3 linked regions of the Callithrix jacchus genome follow. The protein of the gene in region 1 purifies or fractionates together with the protein of each later gene. This does not show direct contact. Links are inferred from orthologs where the notes say so. Each region holds a gene or a part of one and is shown in the gene's direction. Other genes may lie near its edges.

Region 1 (7,636 bases):
CTAAACACTTTATTTTTTGCAAGAAATAAGGGACATAAAAGTTGTCAGGCAGGCATACAGAAAACAAATAGCAAAATGACAGAAGACCCTCCTTATCAGTAATTAAGTATAAGTGGGTTAAATATTTTAACTAAAATACAGACTGGCAGAATGCGTAACAAATGATTTAACTATATGCTATCTTCAAGAGATTCACTTTCGATCCAAAGACAAATAGATTGAAAGTGAAAGGATGGGAAAAGATAATTCATGCAAATAGTAACCAGAAGAGAGCAGGGTGGCTATACTAATACCAGACAAAATAGATTTTAAATCAGAGATTATAAGAGACAAAGAACAAGATTATGTATTAAAGTTTCAATACAGCAAGAATGTATAATGATTATACACATTTACACACTTAATGGCAGACCATAAATATATATGAAGCAAAAAATGACAGAATTGAAGGGGTGAAAAGTTTTACAATAATAAATGTCAATATCACGTTCTCAATTATCAGAACAAGTAGACAGAAGATAAGTAAGAAATTAGAGGAATTAACACAATAAACCAACTAGATCTAAAAGACATAGAACACTTTAGTCCACAACAGCAGCATGTATATTTTCAAGTGCACATGGAGCATTTTCCAGAATAGGTCATATGTTAGACCACAAATTAAGTCTCAGTAGATTTAAAAAGATAAATATCATACAATGTATCATATCAGACCACAATGGAGGAATTTAGAAATGCATAAGAGGCTGGGTATGGTAGCTCTCACCTGTAATCCTAACACTTTGGGAGGCTGAGGCGGGCAGATCACAAGGTCAGGAGTTCAAGACCAGCCTGACAAATATGGTGAAACCATGTCTCAACTAAAAATACAAAAAAATTAGCCAGGCGTGGTGGCACACACCCGTAATCCCAGCTACTCAGGAGGCTGAAGTAGGAGAATCGCTTGAACCCAGAAGGCGGAAGTTGCAGTGAGCCGAGATTGCGTCACTGCACTCCAGCCTGGGTGACAGAGTGATACTCCGTCTCAAAAAAAAAAAAAAAAAAGAAAGAAATGAATAACAAAAGTATGATGGGGCCAGGTGCAGTGGCTCACACATATAATTCCACCACTTTGGGAGGCTGAGAAAGGCGGATCATTGAGGTCAGGAGTTCGAGACCAGCCTGGCCAACATAGTGAAAACTCGTCTCTACTAAAAATACAAAAATTAGCCGGGCATGGTGATTCATGACTGTAGTCCCAGCCACTTGAGAGGCTGAGGTGGGAGAATCACTTGAACCTGGGAGGCGGACATTGCAGTGAGCCAATATTGTGCTCTTGCACTCCAGCCTAGGTAACAGAGCTAGACTCTGTCTCAAAAAAAAAAAATATGATGGGAAAAATTACAAATTTGTGAAAATTAAACAACACACTCAGAAAAAGCGATAAAGAAATTACAAGGAAAATTAGAAAATACAAATGAATGAAAATGTAAACACATTATAGCAAAGCTTTTGTGATGCAGCAAAAGCAAACTTAAAGGACTTTATAGCTATAAATACATCAAAAACCAAGAAAATCTCAAATTAACACCTAACTTTACAACTTAATGAACTATAAAAATAAAAAGAAACTGAGGCCAGGCGCGGTGGCTCAAGCCTGTAATCCCAGCACTTTGGGAGGCCGAGGCAGGTGGGTCAAGAGATCAAGACCATCCTGGTCAACATGGTGAAACTCCATCTCTACTAAAAATACAAGAAATTAGCTGGGCGTGGTGGTGCGTGCCTGTAATCCCAGCTACTCTGGAGGCTGAGACAGGAGAATTGCCTGAACCCAGGAGGCGGAGGTTGCGGTGAGCCGAGATCAAGCCATTGCACTCCAGCCTGGGTAACAAGAGTGAAACTCCGTCTCAAAAATAAATAAATAAATAAATAAATAAATGAAAAGAAACTAAATGGCCAGGCACAGTGGCTCATGCCTGTAATCCTAGCACTTTGGGAGGCTGAGGAGGGTGGATCACCTGAGGTCAGGTGTTCAAGACCAGCCTGGCCATCATGGTGAAACCCCATCGTTAAAAATAAAAAAAAAAGTAAAAAGAAACTAAATCCAATGCTAGCAAAAGGAAGGGAATAATAAAGATTAAAGCCAGGATAAATGAAACAGAGAATAGAAAACGACAGAGAAAATCAATGAAACCAAAAACTGGTTCTTTGAAAATGTGAAAGCATTATTCACAATATCTTGAATAGGGAAGCAAGTCAAGTGTCCATCAGCAGGTGAGTGGATAAGCAAAATGTGGCATCCATACAATGGAATAGTATTCAGTGTTAAAATGGATGAACCTTGAGAACACTGTGCTATGTAAAATAAATCAGTCACAGGACAAATACTGTATGATTCCACTTTTACGAGTAGTCAGACTCACAGAGACAGAAAGTAGGATGGTGACTGCCGGAAAGTAGAAGGTAGAGGGGAACAAGGAGTTAACATGTGATGCATAGTTTGTTTTTCAAGATGAAAGACTTACAGAGATGGATGGTGGTGTTATGAATACACTTACTACCACTGAACTGTACACATAGAGATAGTTAAGACAGTAAATGCTATGGTTTTTGTTTTTATTTATTTATTTGAGACAGACTCTCGTTCCGCCGCCCAGGCTGGAGTGCAGTGGCGTGATCTCGCTGCAACCTCCGCCTCCCAGGTTCTAAGGGATTCTCCTGCCTCAGCCTTCCGAGTAGCTGGGATTACAGGTATGTGCCACCACGCCTGGCTAATTGTGTATTATTAGTAGAGACGGGGTTCACCACGTTGGCCACACTGGCCTCGAACTCCTGACCTCAGGTGATCCACCCGCCTTGGCCTCCCAGAGTGCTGGGATTACAAGCCTGAGCCACAGTGCCAGACCATTCTGTAGTTTATTTTAACCACAATAATAATAAAAAGTAAAACTTCAGAAGGGTTCAAATGTAGAGAGCATCGAGCTAATTTCACCGTGTTTCAAAGCATACAGACTGATGGCGTCAGCATTAGAGGTGCATGCATTTTAATTAGAATTGCGGTGGTAATATTCATAAGACTGAAGATAACTTCTGGGGATCGGACTTTCACTGGAGGAGAGGTGATGAGAAGAAATATTGGCATCCAAGAACTATGTTGATTTGTTTGTATTTTTGTCATAGGCATTATGCCAGAAGTATCCCTGACAATGTATGGGGCAGGTCCAGCTCTTTTTTTCCTAATAAATTCATTTCTACAACAATCAAAAAGGCAAGAAGAGGAAGCGATATCGGCAGGGCGGCGGCAGCCCCGGACCATTCCAAGGTCCCGGCGGGAGGCCAGAAGCCAGACGCAGCTGAACCCTCGCGGAGCCGACCCGGGCGCGCGCGGGAAGCGGAGGCGGAGTGGGCACGTGCGGCACTTCCGGGGCGTGGCGGGGCGGGCGCGCGGCACTTCCGAAGGCCCGCGCGAGTCGCTAGTTTTGCCCACGCACTTGTGGCACTGCCGCGCCACGCGATCGGCAATCTGATTGGTCCGCGCCGGAGGGCGCGCGGCGCCAAACTTGCTTCCCGTCAGCCCCCGCCCGTGCCGCGGGCACGCGCACGCTCGCGCACCCGGATCCTGGCTCCTTCGTCCAGTCGCCATTCGGGAGGCCGCTGCGCTGCGGGGCCTGGCTGAGCCGCCCGCGACCGCGAGCCGGGCCCTCCGGGTCGTCCTTCGCCCACTGGACGCCGCCAGCGGCCCGACCGGTGAGGAGCGGAGCGAGCGGGGAGGGCGTGGCTGGGGCCTGCATCTCCGAGCCCTGTGTCGGCCGCCGACTTGGCAGGGCCGCTCCGGGAGGAAGCCGCTTGTCCGAGTGAAGGGGGCCTGCGCCGCCTCGCCCCCTACGCGGCCGCGGGAAGGGCCCGCCCCCGGAGTCCGGGCGGGAGTGCGTCTTTGTGCCGGGAGCGGTGAGGCCCGGTGTCACTCGCGGCCGAGGCAGGAAACACTGCATGTGAAATCATTGGGAAGTTGGGGGCAGCACGGCACGCAAGCCATTCTTTCCGCTTTAGTCCTAGGCTGCCTCCTCCTCTGTCATTATTACTGTTTAAAAATCCGCTATACAGCCTCCAAAACGGCAGAGGAGAATGGTGAAGGGTTAATGTCTGGAATACAAGAAGAGATGCAGCTGACCAACAAAAAGCAACCAGCTTAAGAATGGGCAAGGAATTTGGATAGATATTTCTCCAGAGAAGATAGACAGATGGCCAGTAAGCACGTGCAAAGATGCTCAGCACCACTAGCCATTAAGAAAATGCAGATGAAAGCCGCAGTGAGATACTACCTCATACCTGTTAGGATGGCTACTAACAAAAAATGGGAAATTATGAGTGTTGGGGATGTGGAGAAATTGAAGCTCGGGTGCACTGCTGGTGGGAATGTAGCGTGGTACAACAGCTATGGGAATTGGTGTGGTTCCTCAGTTCTACAAGATTTGTACCCAAAAAAATTGACAGCAGGGACTCAGTTACTTGTTCACAAATGTTCATGGCAGCATTATTCACAATCCAGATGTCTATCAACAGGTGAATGAAAGACAAGCTGTGGTATATTACATGTAATGGACTATTGTTCATCCTGAGGAATGACATTCTGATAGATGCTACAATATAAACGAGCCTCGAACACATTATATTGAATGAAATAAGACACAAAAAGACTAATACTGCATGATTCCCCCTCTGACACAGAAAGATTAGACATTACCAGCACTGAAAATGCAGAGTGGGAGTTAGTGTTTTATGAGTACAGAGTTTCTGTTTGTGGTTAAGTGATTCTGGACGTAGATAGTGGTGATGTTTGCACTACATTTTAGAACTAAACTAAATTGTGATTTTAAAAATGATTCAATGGCAAGTGATTTTTTTTTTTTTTTGGACGGAGTTTTGCTCTTGTTGCCCAGGCTGGAGGGCAGTGGCGCGACCTCAGCTCACTGCACCCTCCACTTCAGCCTCCCGAGTAGCTGGTATTACATGCGCCCGCCACCACGCCGAGCTAATTGTTTGTAATTTTAGTAGAGACTTGGTTTCACCATGTTGGTCAGGCTGGTCTTGAACTCCTGACCTCAGGTAATCCACCCTCCTTGGCCTCCCAAAGTGGCAAAATTACAAACATGAGCCACCGTGCCCAGCCTAAATGGCAAGTTTTATGTTCTATTTACCATCCTTTAAAAAATACACATGAGAAATCAAAACTACTGAGTTAGTAAAAAGATGAGTGGTTGCCAGGAGCACAGGAAGATGCTAAGCAATGAAATAATTTTGTGTGACTACCCTAGCAGTGGATACATGATGCTATGTATTTGTCAAAACCCATAGAACTGCACATCACAGAAAGTGACTCCTTGGTCGTAGTGGTTCACATCTGTAATCCCAGCACTTTTGGAGGCCAAGGTGGACAGATCATGAGGTCAGGAGATCAAGACCATCCTGACAAACATGGTGAAACCCATCTCTACTAAAAATACAAAAATTAGCTGGGCATGGTGGCAAGTGCCTGTAGTCCTACCTCCTTGGGAGGCTGAGGCAGGAAATCGCTTGAACCCAGGAGGCGGAGGTTGCAGTGAGCAGAGATAGCGCCACTGCACACCAGCCTGGTGGACAGAGCAAGACTCCGTCAAAAAAAAAAAACAAAAAGTGACTCCTTGTGTAAACTATAGACTTAATAAATCAATGTTAGTTCATCATTGTAGCAAATGTCTCACACTAACAAAAGATGTTAATACTAGTTGAGTGTCCTTTATTCGAAACCAGAAGTGCTTTGGATCTCCCCTCTCCCCTCTCCCTTCTCCCCACTTTCAGATTTTGGAATAGTTGGCTTGTACTGTTTGAGTGCCAAAATGCTCCTTTTGGCACTTCTAAAGTTTTGGATTTTGGAGCATGTCTGGTTTCAGATTTTCAGATTAGGGATGCTCTCTGTAGTAGGAGAAACTGGGGGCTAGGGAGTTGGTGGAAGGAGGTATATGGGAATTCTTGTATGTTTTTGTTTAAACATAAAACTGCTTGAAAAATTCATTTCTTCCTTTTTTTTTTTTTTAATTCTTATGGAGATGGAGTCTTACTCTGTTGCCCAGCTGGAGTGCAATGGTGCAGTCTTGGCTCACTGCAACCTCCGTCTCCTGGGTTCAAGCAATTCTCCTGCTTTAGCCAATCCCAAGTAGCTGGGATTATAAGTGTGCACCATTATGCTCAGCTAATTTATATTTTTAGTAGAGACAGGGTTTCACCATGTTGGCCAGTCTGGTCACAAGCTCCTGTCCTCAAATGATCCACCCATCTCAGCCTCCCAAAGTGTTGGGATTACAGGCATGAGCCACCGCGCCTGGCCAGTTGATCCAGTTTTTAAAGGCTGGGCATGGTGGCTCCTGTAATCCCAGCACTTCAAGAGGCCAAAGCAGGAGGATTGCTTGAGGCCAGGAATTCAAGACAAGCCTGGACAACATAGTGAGACCCCATCGCTGCAGAAACAAAAACAAATTAATCAGATGTGGTGGTGTGCACCTGTAGTCCCAGCTACTTATGATGCTGAGGTGGGAGGATTTCTGGAGCCCAGGAGTATGAGGCTGCAGTGAGCTGTGATTGTGTCACTCCACTAAAACCTTGGGCAACAGAGCAGGACCCTGTCTCTTAAAAAAAAAGGTCAGCTAAGGCCTGGCGTGGTGGGTGGCTCATGCCGGTAATCCCAGCACTTTGGGAGGCTGAGGCGGGGGAATCACCTGAGATCAGGAGTTGAAGATCAGTCTGGCCAACACAGTGAAACCCCGTCTCTACCAAAAATACAAAAAATTAGCTGGGTGTGGTCGTGTGCACCTGTAATCTCAGCTACTCTGGAGGCTGAGGCAGGAGAATCACATGAACTTGGGAGGTGGAGGTTGCAGTGAGCGGAGATCGCGCCATTGCACTCCAGCCTGGGCACTGATGCAAGACTCCATCTTAAAAAAAAAAGCTAAGATAAAGAACAATGCTAGTGTGTATAGACTAATAGTACCCATTTAGCTTTAAACATGTTCTACATATCGAATTTTAATTTAAAACACTGTGCATCACATGTGTTTTAAAAGATGATCAGTGGTGTTGGACTTCAGTGAAGGAATTGAATGGGACATGGGAAATAGTTATGATACACCATATGGCATAACATTGCATTGAAGAATACTGGGTGACAGACTGGCAGAGCACCAATGATTAGAATTTAGGTTTTTTTTAGAGACGAGATGTAATCTATAAAGACACAAAGAAATTTTTGTTAATCTGGACCATTTTGAGTTAATTTTTAATTAGGGGTAGGAGTTCAAATTTAGGAAGAAATTTTGCTGGAACCTTAAAGCTGGAAGGATGCCCAGCTCTCTAGGCTCTGCCTAAAAGTTAAATTCTGGGACTCAATTCTATAACATTTTTGTGGATAGTTGTGCTACTGTGGGAAAGACAGCATTTTGTTATAGCAGAGATCCAGAATTGAGAAAGCCAGAATCAAAAACTGCTGTTTCCTCTGACCTAAATGATCTTTGTGATCTTTGACAGGTCATGTCTCTCCCTCAGCATCAGTCTTTTCAGGTATAAAATGAAGAAGTTGAACTCAAGCCCTCTGAAGATCCTTCTAGTCCTATGCTGATCATCAGTT
Region 2 (7,448 bases), on another chromosome or scaffold:
GCCGGAGCGGATTATTGGAGCTACAGACTCCAGTGGAGAGCTAATGTTCCTAATGAAATGGTGAGTCGGCCAGTGGCCCTGTGTGGTGGTTTTTCTTCTTCTCCCTGTTGGTTTCATACCAGAGGAAAACAGTTGGACCTTCAAAACTCCAGTCACCCAAGTGTGAAATTGTTAAGATGGCATAGTCCTTCAATAGTGACCTTCGGCCTGACTGCCAACTTGGACTCATGAGTTAAAGGTAGGAGCCCCTAAGAATCTCAGGTCTTTGCCCATATTTTTAGGAGGTGGGAGAATAAAAACTAGAGGGGAAGGAGTTTGAGAAGGAATCACATCTCACTAATGTAAATAAAGGGAGGGAAAATAATGAAATGTGATTGGACCACCCTCTCCTTCTACCCCCACTTAATAAAGATCGGGCTGGCCCCAGAATCAGAAGTTCTGCTTAATAATCAAGGTTAGGAAAGAATTTGTAGTTCTTCCTTTTGTCCTTTGTTAGATGCCTTTCAATTTGTGCAGATTCTACAGTTACAGAATCAGCCAGCAGGGGTCAGCAAGGCTCCTTAACTGCTGTCAAGCACAGAGCAAGCCCGCTTTTTTCCATTATGAGTATAAATACCAGTGATAGTAATGCTCCATGAAACAGCCTAATGAAGACAGTTATCCCAGCAATCTCTATAATTTTCCTAGTCTGTCAAAAGAAGATCATTCTTCCCATTTCTTTCCCATTGAAAATGCTTATGCCTTTTTTTCTCCCCCCAAAGTGGATCTCAGTCATTGTATTTTTTTTTTTTTTTTAAGTTAGAGTCTTGTTCTGTCACCCAGGCTGGATTGCAATGGTATGGTCTCAGCTCACTGCAATCTCTGCTTCTTGGGTTTAAACGATTCTCCCACCTATAGCTGGGACTATAGGTGCATGCCAACATGCCTAGTTAATTTTTGTATTTTTAGTAGAGACCGGGTTTAATTGTTTGCCAGGCCGGTCTCGAACTCTTAACCTTATGATCCGCCTGCCTCAGTCTCCCAAAGTTTTGGGATTACAGGCGTGAGCCACCTTGCCCGGCCAATCATTGTATTTAAAGTTAGGAAGGAATAATTCTAAGCCATTGCCAATGCAGGCAGCATTCTCAAAACTTTGTCTTTTGAAATATATATACACACACAATGTCTGTGGAGCTTTATCCTTTTGACAGTCCAGAACTTTCTCTGAAACTCCTGTCTGTACTAATTATTCTCCTTTACAGTATGGCTGGAGAGGCCTAACTTTAGCATCACTGAAAGCCAGAGTCACAACTAGCTAACCTATGCATTCCCTAGGCAGTTACTGGAGCTTGACCCTCTTTCAACTGATTTATTGTTTACCTGTAGGATAAAAGTTAATTTTTAAGATGCTGCTTATGGGGTGGGAGAAGTTATACCATGAGTTAATCAGTCTAGCTAGAAGATACTTTTTCTGCATGTGACTAATGGGAGTTACAGTAATTGCTTACGATTGCATTCCTTTGGTTGACTCACTATTGTCTTTTTTTTTTTTGAGATGGGGTCTCGATCCTTAGCCCAGGCTGCTGGAGTACAGTGGTGTGAGCTCGGCTCACTGCAGCCTCTGCCCCCCCCGCCCCAGGTTCAATGATTCTCCTGCCTCAGCCTCCCAAATAGCTGGGATTATAGGCACCCGCCACCTCGCCTGGCTAATATTTGTATTTTTAGTTGAGATTGGGTTTCACCATGTTGGCCAGGCTGGTCTCAAACTCCCAACCTCAGGTGATCCACCCATCTCAGCCTCCCAAAGTACTAGGATTACAGGTGTGAGCCACTGCACCTGGCTGACTCATTACTGTCCACAGGTTAAAATTGGATTTGATTCTAAGACCAAGTACATTTTAAAAAGTTACTTTACTGGAGAATAGGGATTCTTGTATATTTCCGAAAGTAGCAAATATTTCTAAGCAGTGAAATGACTGAATGTAACTCAGAGGGTGTTGTTCAGCTGTTAGCAGATGGCAGCATGCTTCAGATTCCCATTTCCCTCCCATTCTCCTGGATCCATTGTTCAAAAACATTTTTTTTTTTTTTTTTTTTTTTTTTTGAGACGGAGTTTTGATCTTGTTACCCAGGCTGCAATGGTGCGATCTTGGCTCACCGCAACCTCCGCCTCCTGGGTTCAAGCAGTTCTCCTGCCTCAGCCTCCTGAGTAGCTGGGACTATAGGCGCGCGCCACCATGCCCAGCTAATTTTTGTATTTTCAGTAGAGATGGGGTCATCCATGTTGACTAGGATGGTCTCGATCTCTTGACCTCGTGATCTACCCGCCTTGGCCTCCCAAAGTGCTGGGATTACAGGCGTGAGCCACCATGCCTGGCCTCAAAAACATATTTTATCGGCTTACTCTTCTGCTCCATGGGACTCTGTGGCTCTTGTTTCCTGTTGGGGTTCTGGAGGTTTTGGGTGGTGCTTTGTCAGAGATCTCATCAGATATCTCCTGCTTGCCTTATACTACTGCTTCTGTCTAGGACATTCCTAATAACCTGAAGATAGGAATTTTTTTTTTTTAAATACAGCAAGTTGGTGCTGGAAAAAAAATTAAAAATTAAAAAAATATATATATATTTTTTAATGAGACAGAGTCTTGCTCTGTCACCCAGGTTGGAGTGTAGACCCCTGTTCACTACATCCTCCACCTCGCGGGTTGTTCAAGCAATTCTTGTGTCTCAGCCTCCTGAGTAGCTGGGATTACAAATGCACGCCAATATGCCTGGCTAATTTTTGTATTTTTAGCAGCAATGGGGTTTTGCCATGTTGACTGGCTGGTCTTGAACTCCTGGGCCTGCCCACCTTGGCCCTCCAAAGTGCTGGGATTATGGGCATGAGCCACTGCACCCGGCCTAAGAGTTTACTCCTAATTCCCTTATAATGTGTATGATTTTCAAATTTTGAAAACATTTTAAAATTCAGAAAAATATGGCCCCCCCATTTTCTGCCTCCCAGTGTTGAAACAACATTTCAAAGCACCTGGAAGTTACGTAAGGATAGCATTTGTAAATGTCAGTGTAATTATGATTATGCAAGAAAGTGTCCACTTTGATTTGCTCTGGCCAGTGCCAGATGTGGTATTTTTAATTCTACTCCAGGCTGGGCATGGTGGCTCAAATCTGTAATCCCAACACTTTGGGAGCTTGAGGCAGGTGGATCACCTGAGGTCAGGAGTTCAAGACCAGCCTGGCCAACAGAGCAAAGCCCTGTCTCTATTAAAAATACAAAATTAGCCAGGTGTGGTAGCACATGCCTGTAGTCCCAGCTACTTGGGGAGGCTGAGGCAGGAGAACTGCTTGAACCCAGGAGGTGGAGGTTGTGGTGAGCCAAGATCACACCACTGCACGCCTGGGCGACAGAGTGAGATTCTGTCTCAAAAAAAAAAAAACCTATTACAAAGCCAAGATTTCTCCATGTGTTCATATCAGCTGGGATATGGCTTTTGGAAGAGTGAGGTAGCCTCTCTTCCCTCAGAGATTCAAAAAAGTCATGCTTTTGGGGACCTTTCCGAAATATTCAGATGTGACTGGTTAAGTCCAATGACCTGGCTTTTGACATACACAAATCCCCAGAGGGAATTTGCAACAGGAGAGTATCTCTGAGGATGTCACTTGACATAAAGTTGCCAGTAAATGCTGCTTAGGCCACGTTTTCATTGTTCCCTGCCTATTTTTCTAAAATTACTAATTTTTTAATTTTTATTTTATTTTTTTTAAGATGGGTTTTCACCATGTTGGCCAGGCTGGTCTGACTCCTGACGTCAGGTGATCCTCCCACCTCTGCCTCCCAAAGTGCTGGGATTACAGGCGTGAACCACCATGCCCAGCCTAAAATTACTGTTTTTAAAAGTTCTATCCCCTGGCTTATTCAACTTATGATAGACCACTAGCAGTTGGTCTCAAAGTCTCTCTTTGCTTTATTCTGCAGGAAAAACTCTGATGAGGCTGACCTGGTCCCTGCCAAGGAAGCCAATGTCAAGTGCCCACAGGTTGTCATATCCTTCTATGAGGAAAGGCTGACGTGGCATTCCTACCCCTCGGAGGATGATGACAAAAAAGATGACAAGAATTAACTCTCCTGAGTACCAGCCCCTGTCACATCTGACTGTGGGTTTCAAGTGGGAAGGGAAGGAGTTCTACTTGTCTTGACACCACAGAGGTGGCTTGAGAAGATGTCCTTTGAAGAGCCAGTATAGTTTCTGTGCCCTGCAGCAGCCCAAGTGCTTTAAAGCCCTTACAAGCTGTATAGTTTGCACACCCATCCCAGTGGAGGGGAAGGGGGTAAGTGTTTCAAGGCAACCTTTTCTGCACTTTGCTGAGAAAAGCAAAGGGCCTTCTATGAAGGACAAAACTTGCAGAATTGGGTGTGTGGGAGAGCAAAAAAATACTGTAGATCTTCAAAGAGCATCTCCACAACCCACAGCCTTCTTCCCAATAGTGTTAACTCTGCATTTTTACAGCATAGCATGTGTGTAGTTTTTGGCTATTACTGGTGTATTATTTGGGGGAGGGAGGGATGGGGAGGGGAGAAAGGGAGATGGGTAGCATCATTTTAATTAAATTTGGGGGCCTGAAAGGGGAAATGGTGAAGCAATGGAAAGAACAGACAACTAATGATATGCTTCTGTGTCCAGAATATTTTACTTTTCAAAAAAAAATGTCATTGGCACCATAAATAAGGACTGTGAGAGACTGTTTAAAAGCTGTGAATGTCTGAAACCTATAAGCCAAGGTGTTCCCTGCCTAAACTTACTGCTGTTCCCCACAAAGGACTAAGCCAGTTAATAAGTTACCAAAGTTGCCATTTTGGAAATGGAAATTGACTGAGGAGGGAAGGTCTTTTATTGGAGAGTATACAGTACAAGCAGATCATTCTGTCTCAGAGGTGCTAATTCCTGAAATTAGAAAACCTTTCTTTTCCAATAACAAAATTATAAATATCAGCTTGTTCATCCAAGCCACTGGCTGAGGTGTTGGGGAAAAGGAAGAGGGTGGTAGAGGAGATAAGACAGTAGGGAAAGATAAGGGCCTATGCTCTTAGTGGGGAGAACTCTTGGAGCCATTCTGTTTTTTTTGAGGTTTGAACTCTGAAACCATTGGTGGCAGCGTTCAGTCACTGACAGCACAAGTTTCACTGAATTGATTCCAGAGTTGGGTGACTTAAAAAACCTTGGTCCCAGGAGAAGATTAAACTTTCATACTGGGCAGTGTTCACTTTAAAACACACACACACTTTTTTAAAGAAATCCTAAGAAGTAACATACCCAAAATACTCTGTCTTGAGTCATGAAATCCATCAGTTCTTGATATTGTCTAGACTTGCATCTAGGGCTACATTGTAAAATCTTTTTAGGCATGTGTTAGATTTCTGTGAAAACTTTGTTTAAATGTAAACTTCATACTACACTGTCAGTTTTTGTCTTAATAAAACTATAGATTTATAATCCCTGATTTCTGTCTTAAGTCTTCCCAGGAACCCTTCTTACCTTATAGGTTCAGCCTGTTGGAAATCGCATCCTCACTTGGATGGTTTTATTTCTTGCTACAGGCTTGAAAATCTAGTGCCTGGCCTGAATCTTTAAGTGGTCTCACCATGTTAATTTAGTAAATACTGAGCATTTGTTGCTGCAGGGATTGTAAAGATGGTCCCATCATGCTGTCTTCAGTATTGCTGAAAGTTTATTGAGCACTCTGACCTGATAGCACTTGCAAACTATGGTATATTTGGAAACATGGGTTTTTGAGTTAGGTTTAGATCCTGCCTCAAGTATGTAATAGACCTTGGCTAAATTCTACTTCTCCAAAATTTTCCAGGAATTGGCCCTGTGTTTGAGCACTGACTGAAAACATTTTCTGCCTGTGATTCTAGAGCCAAAATTATAGCAGAAATAGCATTTCCACTGATACCTAATCAGTATAACAGTTGAGCACTACTCACTTGTGCAAAGCATAGGTTTAAAATAAACTGATGTGTACTTTTCCAAAAGCCTCCTCAGGAAAGTTCTGGGGAGACATAAATGGAGCTGGGGAACCTTACTGAAGGTCTGGGTCACAGACAGGCCTTCCTCCTGCACAGAGGTCTGAGTGTGTGCCCTTGTGGTGGTTGGCAGTAGCACAGCCATCGGTAGCTAATTAAGGGAGTTTAGGTGGAGGTGTTCTGGTTCTGTTCTGTACCATCAAATGCACTGAAATGAAACTGCAGCCTTGGTTTGTATCCCAAATGGGCTACCAGTCAGCTTTGGCCTTAACCTTTGGAACTGACTTCCTTGTCATTTGTGGCATTCCTGAGCTGTTGTAAAAACTTATTCTCCACCAGAGAAAACAGTAATACTGCTGTGCATGCAGTGAAAACTGAGTTGAAACTAGACAGAATTTTGTTATTTTTGAAAGCCATTTAGAACATCACTAGATCTATCGTTTAAGGACCAACTTTTATGATTGTTGAGGTCACAAATTCAAACTGCTACAAATACAAATAGGCACAACAAATGTTAAGTCAGCTTGAGAAAATATTCAGAGGTTATTTCTTTGTTTATTGTTTGTTCTATTTTTGAAACAGAGTCTTGTTCTGTTGCCCAGGCTGGAATGCAATGGCACAATCTTGGCTCACTGCAGCCTCTGCCTCCAGGGTTCAAGCAGTTCTCCTGCCCCAGCCTCCCAAGATGCTGGGACTACAGGTGCACACCACCAGGCCTGGCTAATTTTTTTTTTAATTTTTAGTAGAGATGGGGTTTCACCATATTGGCCACACTGGTCTCGAACTCCTGACCTCAGGTGATCTGCCCACCTTGGCTTCCCAAAGTCCTGGGATTACAGGCATGAGCCACCACTCCCAGCCAAAGAATATTTCTTCAGACAGTGGAAAAACATGTTTGTTGGATGGTTTCCATAAAATTGCACCATCACAGATCTCTTGCCCGGGAATTAAAGAGGATATAAATTATCTTAGTTACTATTAGAAAAGGGGAGCTTGCTAATATTGTGAAATCATTATTACCTGAGGTATCCTGTACTGGCAGAGCCAGTAAAACAAAAGTCTTGCTCCTTCATTGTCTTAAGTTTTGTATTGTAAATGGATGGAACAACGACCACAGAAACACCCTTGACAGTGTTGAGTAATAATTGTTCCTGCATTTGATATCGTTTGAAAATTTTGACAACCGGCCAGGCCCAGTGGTTCGCGCCTTTAATCCCAACACTTTGGGAGGCCGAGGCAGGTGAATCACCTGAGGTCAAGAGTTCGAGACCAGCCTGGCCAACATGTTGAAACTCTTCTCTACCAAAAATGCAAAAATTAGCGTGGCGTGGTGGTAGGCACCTTTAATCCCAGCTATTTGGGAGGCTGAGGCAGGAGAATTGCTTGAACCTGGGAGGTGGAGGTTGCTCTGTGCAAAGATTGCGCCATTGCACTCCAGCCTGGGT
Region 3 (7,536 bases), on another chromosome or scaffold:
GCATTATGAGCACTGTTATTGTTTGTCTTTTTTCAACTGTGTGTGGGTGCATAAATATACACACTCTACCACCTCCTCCTGCCCCCCGCCCAGCTTCTATTCCTTTCATTTATTTCAAGGTTATCAAGCATTTTGTGGTGAAGGCTGTATCATACACTTTACGATTAATAAAAGCATAAGTCTACTTCTGAATCTTCCAGCATCTCTGTCACAAGCATCCCTATTATCTTCATTCTACTTAGATATCTAACTTTCTAGAGCATTAGTTCTCAATCCTGGCTACACATTATACTCACCTGGACAGTGCTTTAAAAAAAAAAAAATTATCCAGTGCCTAAGATGCACCCCAGACCAGTAAAATTACAATTAAATTAAATTTATTTATTTATTTATTTATTTTGACAGAGTCTCACTCTGTCGCTCAGGCTGGAGTGCAGTGGTGTGATCTCTGCTCACTGCAGCCTCCACCTCCTGGGTTCAAGTGATTCTCCTGCCTCAGCCTCCCAAGTAGTGGGGACTACAGGTGTGTGCCACCATGCCCGGCTAATTTTTTATATTTTTAGTAGAGATGGGATTTCCCCATGTTAGTCAGGATGGTCTTGATCTCCTGACCTTGTGATCTGCCTGCCTTGGCCTCCCAAAGTGCTGGAATTACAGTCGTGAGCCATCGTGACCAACCTCTGTCCTTTTTAAAAATGAGCAGCCTGAATTATCTGGCTTAGAGACACTGGTCAGTGCAGAGAGTTTTGTTCCTAGGCCAGGTTCTGAAGCTGCCGACCTTGAAAACAACCCCTACGTGTCCCTTAGATCATAATGTTCATCTGGGGCCCCTGATAGCATTCTAGCAGTACTGGTTGCTGTCAGGTAGACAGTTGGGAAAATAGGTGATTATATGTTTTAAAGGTACAGAGGAGGGGATTGCATTTTTTTCTTAAGACCACTGCAGAAGAAATTTGTTAGTCTGCATTATGCCTGATTTAAGATTACTGCCTGTATGATGATTTTAGCGTTTTCTTCGCTTCGGCTCCTTTTCAGCAGCTTGAACATTTTTCTTCCATTTGCCCACCCCTTCCCCCCTCTATATAGCAAACTGTTTTCAGCTGTCAGCTATGATTTACAACTTAGTCCATGTGCCAGCATTCCAGCTGTGAGCAGCTGTGTGCACATCTGGGAACTTCTTCCCCTTAAGCACCCCCCAAAGAGGCTATGTTTTTAAAAGTCAGTATCTTTCAATGATTCATGCATGGAATTTCCTTCCTATTGAGGATTTTGGTATCTTTGGGGACCACCAAGACCCCAAATGCTTTCTGTGTCTGAGGAAAGCAAGGTGAACATAATCAGATCAAAAAGATTTTACTATAAGAATCATCAGTAGAGATTTAGCTCATTTGGGCATCTCTGAATCTTTTTTTGTGTTGCCACTGGAGAGGCTAACATTATCTTCCATAATAAAGTTTTTAAAAATTACCTAGCTTGGGCTGGGTACGGAGGCTCACACCTATAATCCCAGCTCTGTGGGAGGCAAAGGTGGGTGGATCATTTGAGGCCAGGAGTTTGAGACTAGCCTAGTCAACATGGTGAAACCCTGTCTCTACTAAAAATACAAAAATTATCCAGGCATGGCCAGGTGCAGTGGCTCACACCTGTAATTTCAGCACTTTAGGAGGCCAAGGCAGGCAGACCACCTGAGGAGTTTGAGACCAGCCTGGCCAACATGGTTAGCCCCCCGTCTCTATTAAAGATGCAATAACTAGCCAGGCCCAGTAGCGCACGCCTGTAATTCCAGCTACTTGGGAGGCTGAGAAAGAAGAATCACTTGAATCTAGGAGGCGGAGGTTGCAGTGAGCTCAGATTATGCTGTTGCACTCCAGTCTGGGCAACAGAGGGAGACTCTTGTCTCAAAAAAAAAAAAATTACCTGGCTCGAATAAAATTTTGCTTTTTAGCTCTCATCGGTGTTCCTACACCTGGATTAGAACCTGTGCTCCTTGTCTAGATTGTATTACTGAATTTAGACCAAGTTTCAGTACTCATCTCAGGAATTACCAGATTTTTTTTCTGGCTGGGTGCCGTGGCTCATGCTTATAATCCCAGCACTTTGGGAGGCCAAGGCAGGCGGATCACGAGGTCAAGAGATCAGGACCATCCTGCCCCACATGGTAAAACCCTGTCTCTGCTAAAATTACAAAAATTAGCTGGGTGCGGTGGTGCATGCTTGTAATCCCAGCTACTTGGGAGGCTGATGGAGGAGAACCACTTGAACCCAGGAGACAGAGTTTGCTGTGAGCTGAGCTGAGATTGTGCCATTGTACTCCAGCCTTGGCAACAGAGTGAGACTCTGTCTCAAAAAAAAAAAAAAAAAAGATTTTTTTCTTTCTTACTTTAAGAGACAGGTTCTCACTATGTTGCCCACCATGAAGCATAGTGACATGATGTAGCTCACTGCAGCCTTGAACTCCTGGACCCAGGGGATCCTCCCACTTCAGCCTCTTGAGTAGAGGTAGCACACTTCAGGTGTACACCACTGGGCCCAGCTAATTTTTACAATTTTTTTTGTAGAGATAGTTGTCCATGCTGGTCTCCAACTCCTAGTCTCAAGCAATCCTCCTACCTCAGCCTCCCAAAGTTCTGGGATTACAGGCCTGAGGCACTGCACCAGGGCAGGTTTTTGTTTTTGTTTTTGTTTGTGTTTGTTTTCAATTACAGTCCAGTTCTGCCCAGTTCTAACAGTCATCAACATCCAGAGGGGATAGGCACTGACCAGGGCCTTCTCTGTAACCAAGCACGTAGGTATTGGTGTTTGTGATCTCTGAAATTTGCCATTTAATAGTATTGGCTTTGCATGATTCTTATCTCTGTTCTTTCATAAATATAGGTGACTGTGAAATGTATTAAAATTATTGGTTAGTGTTAAGGCAAACTAAAAGTCTAAAAAAATAAAGATTGAGAGAGGTAAAATATTTAAAGTTTGTAAAATGAAAAGGTTTAGTTAGGGTAAACATGGTCTTTATCATTTCAGGAGCTTATTTAACAATATTAAGGATATTTTGAGTGAGTGGGATTAGAGGAATTCCTAGATGTTGACTTCAGAGTATCTTACGGAATACTGGAGACTTTTAGGGTTCACCTCCAGTCTTCTGAAGGAAATCCAGGAAAGATAACATCTTCCAAAAATATCTCTTGGCATCACTGTCACTTCATTGTCACTGTCAGTACTTAGTACTGTTATTAAGTTCTAAAAATTTTTCCAAATTGGTGACAGAAATGGTATCAGGTGATATTAACTTATATTGTGTTTTGTTGAGCCTAGAAATAGGGAGTTTCTCTACTCTTTCCACAAGCTATAACCTTTCTTCATCTTCTGTTTATAGCAGAGCAATGATATAGCTCGGGGCTTTGAGAGAGGACTGGAACCAGAAAAGATCATTGGGGCGACAGATTCCTGTGGTGATTTAATGTTCCTAATGAAATGGTGAGAAAGATTTGGCTTCACTTTACAATTGTGTTTCTTTGCCAGTCACTTGAATTCATGTGGAAAATAAAGTAGCAAGACTGCGTATTCCCAGACCATGAATTTTGAATGTCAGAGATCCTTAACTGATACCAATTATTGGTATTAAATGGGAATTATGGTTCAGAATGGATTTAAGACATTCTCAAGCTTTGTTATTAAGCCAAATTATAGTAGCCTACATATCAGGAAAAAGGTAAATTTGAGGTAGGAAATATATAAAGGCCAGGCAAAGTGGCTTATGCCTGTAATCCCAACACTTTGGGGGCCAAGGCAGGCAGATCACTTGAGGTTAGGAGCCTGGCCAATATGGTGAACCCCCATTTCTAATAAAAATACAAAAATTAGCTGGGCGTGGTGGCTCATGCCTGTAGTCCCAGCTACTTAGGAGGCTGAGGAAGAATTGCTTGAACCTGGTAGGCAGAGGTTGCAGTGAGCTGAGATCGAGCCATTACACTCCCACATGGGCACAGAGTGAGACTCCATCTCAAAAAAAAGAAAACATAAGCATGACATAACCATTTGTTTACACAGTTCTGAATTATTTACTGTAAGACCATGGGCCTGTGACCCTGAACTAGGAATCAAAGGAGACTTTGTGCCATCACTGAGGGCCAGACCTGCTGAATAATGTCTAAAAGAGAAAAATAATCTCAACAAAAAGCATTAAGGCTAATACTTGGCCAAATAACTTGGCCAAAGCACAAGTTATTTCATCCAGTATAGACCGAATGGCTCTTAGATGAAAGGGTAAGTAGTTCCTCTCAATTTGATTTATTTTTTTTTTTTTTGAGACGGAATCTCATTCTATTGCCTGGAGTGCAGTGGCATGATCTTGGTTCACTGCAACTTCCTCCTTCCAGGTTCAAGTGATTGTCTTGCCTCAGCCTCCCAGGTAGCTGGGATTACAGGTGCCTGCCACCATGCCCGGCTAATTTTTATATTTTTAGTAGAGAGGGGGTTTTGCCATGTTGGTCAGGCTGCTCTTGAACTCCTGACCTCAAGCAGTCTGCCCGCCTTGGCCTCCCAAAGTGCTAGGATTATAGGCGTGAGCCACTGCACCCAGCCCTCAATTTGATTACTTAAAAACGCTCAATTTGGCAGGGCACGTGGCTCACTCCTATAATCCCAGCACTTTGGGAGGCCAAGGCGGGTGGATCACGAGGTCAACAGATCAAGACCATCCTGGTCAACAAGGTGAAACCCCGTCTCTACTAAAAATACAAAAATTAGCTGGGCATGGTGGTATGCGCCTGTAGTCCCAGCTACTCGGGAGGCTGAGGCAGGAGAATTGCTTGAACCCAGGAGGCGGAGGTTGCAGTGAGCCGAGATCGCGCCATTGCACTCCAGCCTGGGTAACAAGAACGAAACTCCATCTCAAAACAGAAAAAGACCCTCAATTTGATTTCTTAAAAACAGAGTGATTTATGGTGTGGCCCTCACTGTTTCCAGGTATTCTGGGTTTATGATACATAGAGGGTTTGTGCTGCATTGCCACTAAAGAAACATGTTACCTTAAAAGTTGTGTAGTCAGCCGGGTGCAGTGGCTCCCGCCTGTAATCTCAGCACTTTGGGAAGCTGAGGCAGGCAGATCACCTGAGGTCAGGAGTTCTAGACCAGGCTGAGCAATATGGTGAAACCCTGTCTCTACTAAAAATACAAAAATTAGCCTGGTGTGGTGGTGGGTGCCTGTAGTTCTGCTACTTGGGAGGTTGAGACAGGAGAATTGCTTGAACCCAGGAGGCGAGGATTGCAGTGAGCCGAGATGGTGCCACTGTACTTTTAAAAAAAAAAAGCTGTATAATCAAAAGCTTATTTTATCTGATGATAGTGCTGCTGGTAAATTACCCAGAAGCCTGTGTTTGAAGAATTGTTATATTTTGTCAGAAATAAGGAGCTGTATGGACTGCTTGTTTTGTTTTGTTTTTGAGACAGTCTTGCTCTATGACCTAGGCTGGAGTGCAGTGGCACCATCTTGGCTCACTACAGCCTTCACCTCCCAAGTTCAAGTGGTTCTCATCCCTCAGCCACCCAAGTAGCTGGGATTATAGGCATGTGCCACGACATCTGGCTAATTTTTTAGTAGAGATGGGGTTTTACCATCTTGGCCAGGCTGGTTTTAAACTCCTGATCTCAAGCAGTCCTCCTGCCTCGGCATCCCAAAGTGCTGGGATTACAGGTCTGGACTGCTTTTTAAAAATTTTATTTTAGACAGGGTCTCACTCTGGCACCCGGGCTGGAGTACAGTGGTGTGATCACAGCTCACTGCACCTTTGACTTCCGGAATTCAAGTTATCCTCCTTCTCCAGTCTCCTGAGTAGCTGGGACTACAGGTCCTGCTAATTTTTTGAAAAAATTGGACACCATGGCCTGCTAATTTTTTGAAAAAATTTTTGAAGACATTAGGTCTTCCTTTGTTGCCCTGGGCTCAAGTGTTTCTCCCACCTCAGCCTCCCAAAGTGCTGGGATTATAGGTATGAGGCACTGTGTCTAGGCTGGACTGCTTTTTCTTACTCAGCCATACGTGTACTTATGATTTACATTTCATTAATTGGCTTTTTCCACCATAGTTTGAATTTGAGTGTCTGCTCCAACAAGGTGGTAATTTCCCTTGTCCTCATATCAGGATAATTTAATTTATTATTATTTATTTATTTATTTTGAGACTGGGTGTTGCTCTGTTGCCCAGGCTGGAGTTCAGTGGTTCAATCTTAGCTCACTGCAAACTCCACCTCCCAAGCCCAAGTGATCCTCCCATTTCAGCCTCCCAAGCAGCTGGGACCACAAGCGTGCACTACCATGCCTAGCTGATTTTTGTATTTTTTGTGGAGATGGGTTTCGCCATGTTGCCTAGGCTTGTCTTGAACTCCTGGGCTCATGCAATCCACTTGCCTCAGCCTCCCAAAGTGCTGGGATTACAGGCATGAGCTACTGTACGTGGCCTTCTCAGGATAATTTAATTTAATTTTTTTCTTGATTTGTAATCATGCCTAAGGGACCATGTGGCTAGATTTTTTTTTGTTATACTTGGTAGTAGAGGCTGTAACTGAGATAATTGAAATTTGTAGCTAAAGTTTTATTTGCTTGTTGTTCCAATCTATGGTTCTGACCAGAGGTGTAATGAGTATTTAAAAGGCCACAAAGTGAGGAGGGTTAAGACCTCTTCACTTAGACGATCTGGAAACTGGATTGACCAACCTGTGCATAATTGACTTAGGTGTAATCAATACAGCTGAATGTAGGTTTGATTGGGTTCACTCACATGCTCCTATTCACAAATAAAAATTATGGAAGCAGATTAATATCATTTATTATTCAGCTTTTTAAACTGAGCCTACCATGTTTTACATCTAAATTCTACCTGCAGACATCTGTTTCTGTATAATAGGATTAATATATTAATCCATTTACATAAATTTCTTCTTGAAAATATTAAAAGGGTCCTTTTCACCTTGAAATCAAAGTGAGGAGGAAATCAAGACAACTCAATCCATATAATGACATAAACTTATATCTGGACAGCTTCTTTCATTCTTACTTCCTCTCCTTTTAAGTAGCATATTCTTTCTTTCCAGGAAAGACACAGATGAAGCTGACCTGGTTCTTGCAAAAGAAGCTAATGTGAAATGTCCACAAATTGTGATAGCATTTTATGAAGAGAGACTGACATGGCATGCATATCCTGAGGACGCGGAAAACAAAGAGAAAGAAACGGCAAAGAGCTAAAGGAGGGGGTTTTCTCTGTCATTTCTCTTTGTACATAATACATTCACCTCCCTGCCTCCTCTCCCTTCTTCCCACCCCTTTCTATCCTAAACACATCCATAAAAAATGTGCTTATCACTGTGCTCCACAGGAGAAATGTTGGTATTGGTTTTCTTGTAACATAACTGATGGTCTGATTAATGATAAGTGTCTCTCTGTGAAGACCAGGCATTTACATACTGTGTGTAATACCCACAGTCTTTTTTTCCTTTGCCCTGATCTCTTCCTTCTGCTCCCCTATGACCTCAAGATGAGTTTGAA

Evidence for each region.
Region 2: the proteins of CHAMP1 (region 1) and CBX1 purify together in Homo sapiens (affinity purification with mass spectrometry; 6 studies listed by BioGRID and IntAct, with this or other methods). This does not show direct contact. The link is inferred for Callithrix jacchus from reciprocal best matches to the Homo sapiens genes CHAMP1 and CBX1.
Region 3: the proteins of CHAMP1 (region 1) and CBX5 purify together in Homo sapiens (affinity purification with mass spectrometry; 6 studies listed by BioGRID and IntAct, with this or other methods). This does not show direct contact. The link is inferred for Callithrix jacchus from reciprocal best matches to the Homo sapiens genes CHAMP1 and CBX5.

What each region holds. Positions count from the first base shown.
Region 1 is NC_133502.1:29,683,466-29,691,101, forward strand, and holds the start of CHAMP1 (chromosome alignment-maintaining phosphoprotein 1), read left to right. Parts: upstream 1-3,585; 5' UTR 3,586-3,726; intron 3,727-7,636. UniProt on the Homo sapiens protein: Required for proper alignment of chromosomes at metaphase and their accurate segregation during mitosis. Involved in the maintenance of spindle microtubules attachment to the kinetochore during sister chromatid biorientation.
Region 2 is NC_133506.1:118,213,018-118,220,465, forward strand, and holds the end of CBX1 (chromobox protein homolog 1), read left to right. Parts: coding exon 1-60; intron 61-3,954; coding exon 3,955-4,099; 3' UTR 4,100-5,470; downstream 5,471-7,448. UniProt on the Homo sapiens protein: Component of heterochromatin. Recognizes and binds histone H3 tails methylated at 'Lys-9', leading to epigenetic repression. Interaction with lamin B receptor (LBR) can contribute to the association of the heterochromatin with the inner nuclear membrane.
Region 3 is NC_133510.1:65,304,047-65,311,582, forward strand, and holds part of CBX5 (chromobox protein homolog 5), read left to right. Parts: intron 1-3,370; coding exon 3,371-3,471; intron 3,472-7,085; coding exon 7,086-7,236; 3' UTR 7,237-7,536. UniProt on the Homo sapiens protein: Component of heterochromatin that recognizes and binds histone H3 tails methylated at 'Lys-9' (H3K9me), leading to epigenetic repression. In contrast, it is excluded from chromatin when 'Tyr-41' of histone H3 is phosphorylated (H3Y41ph).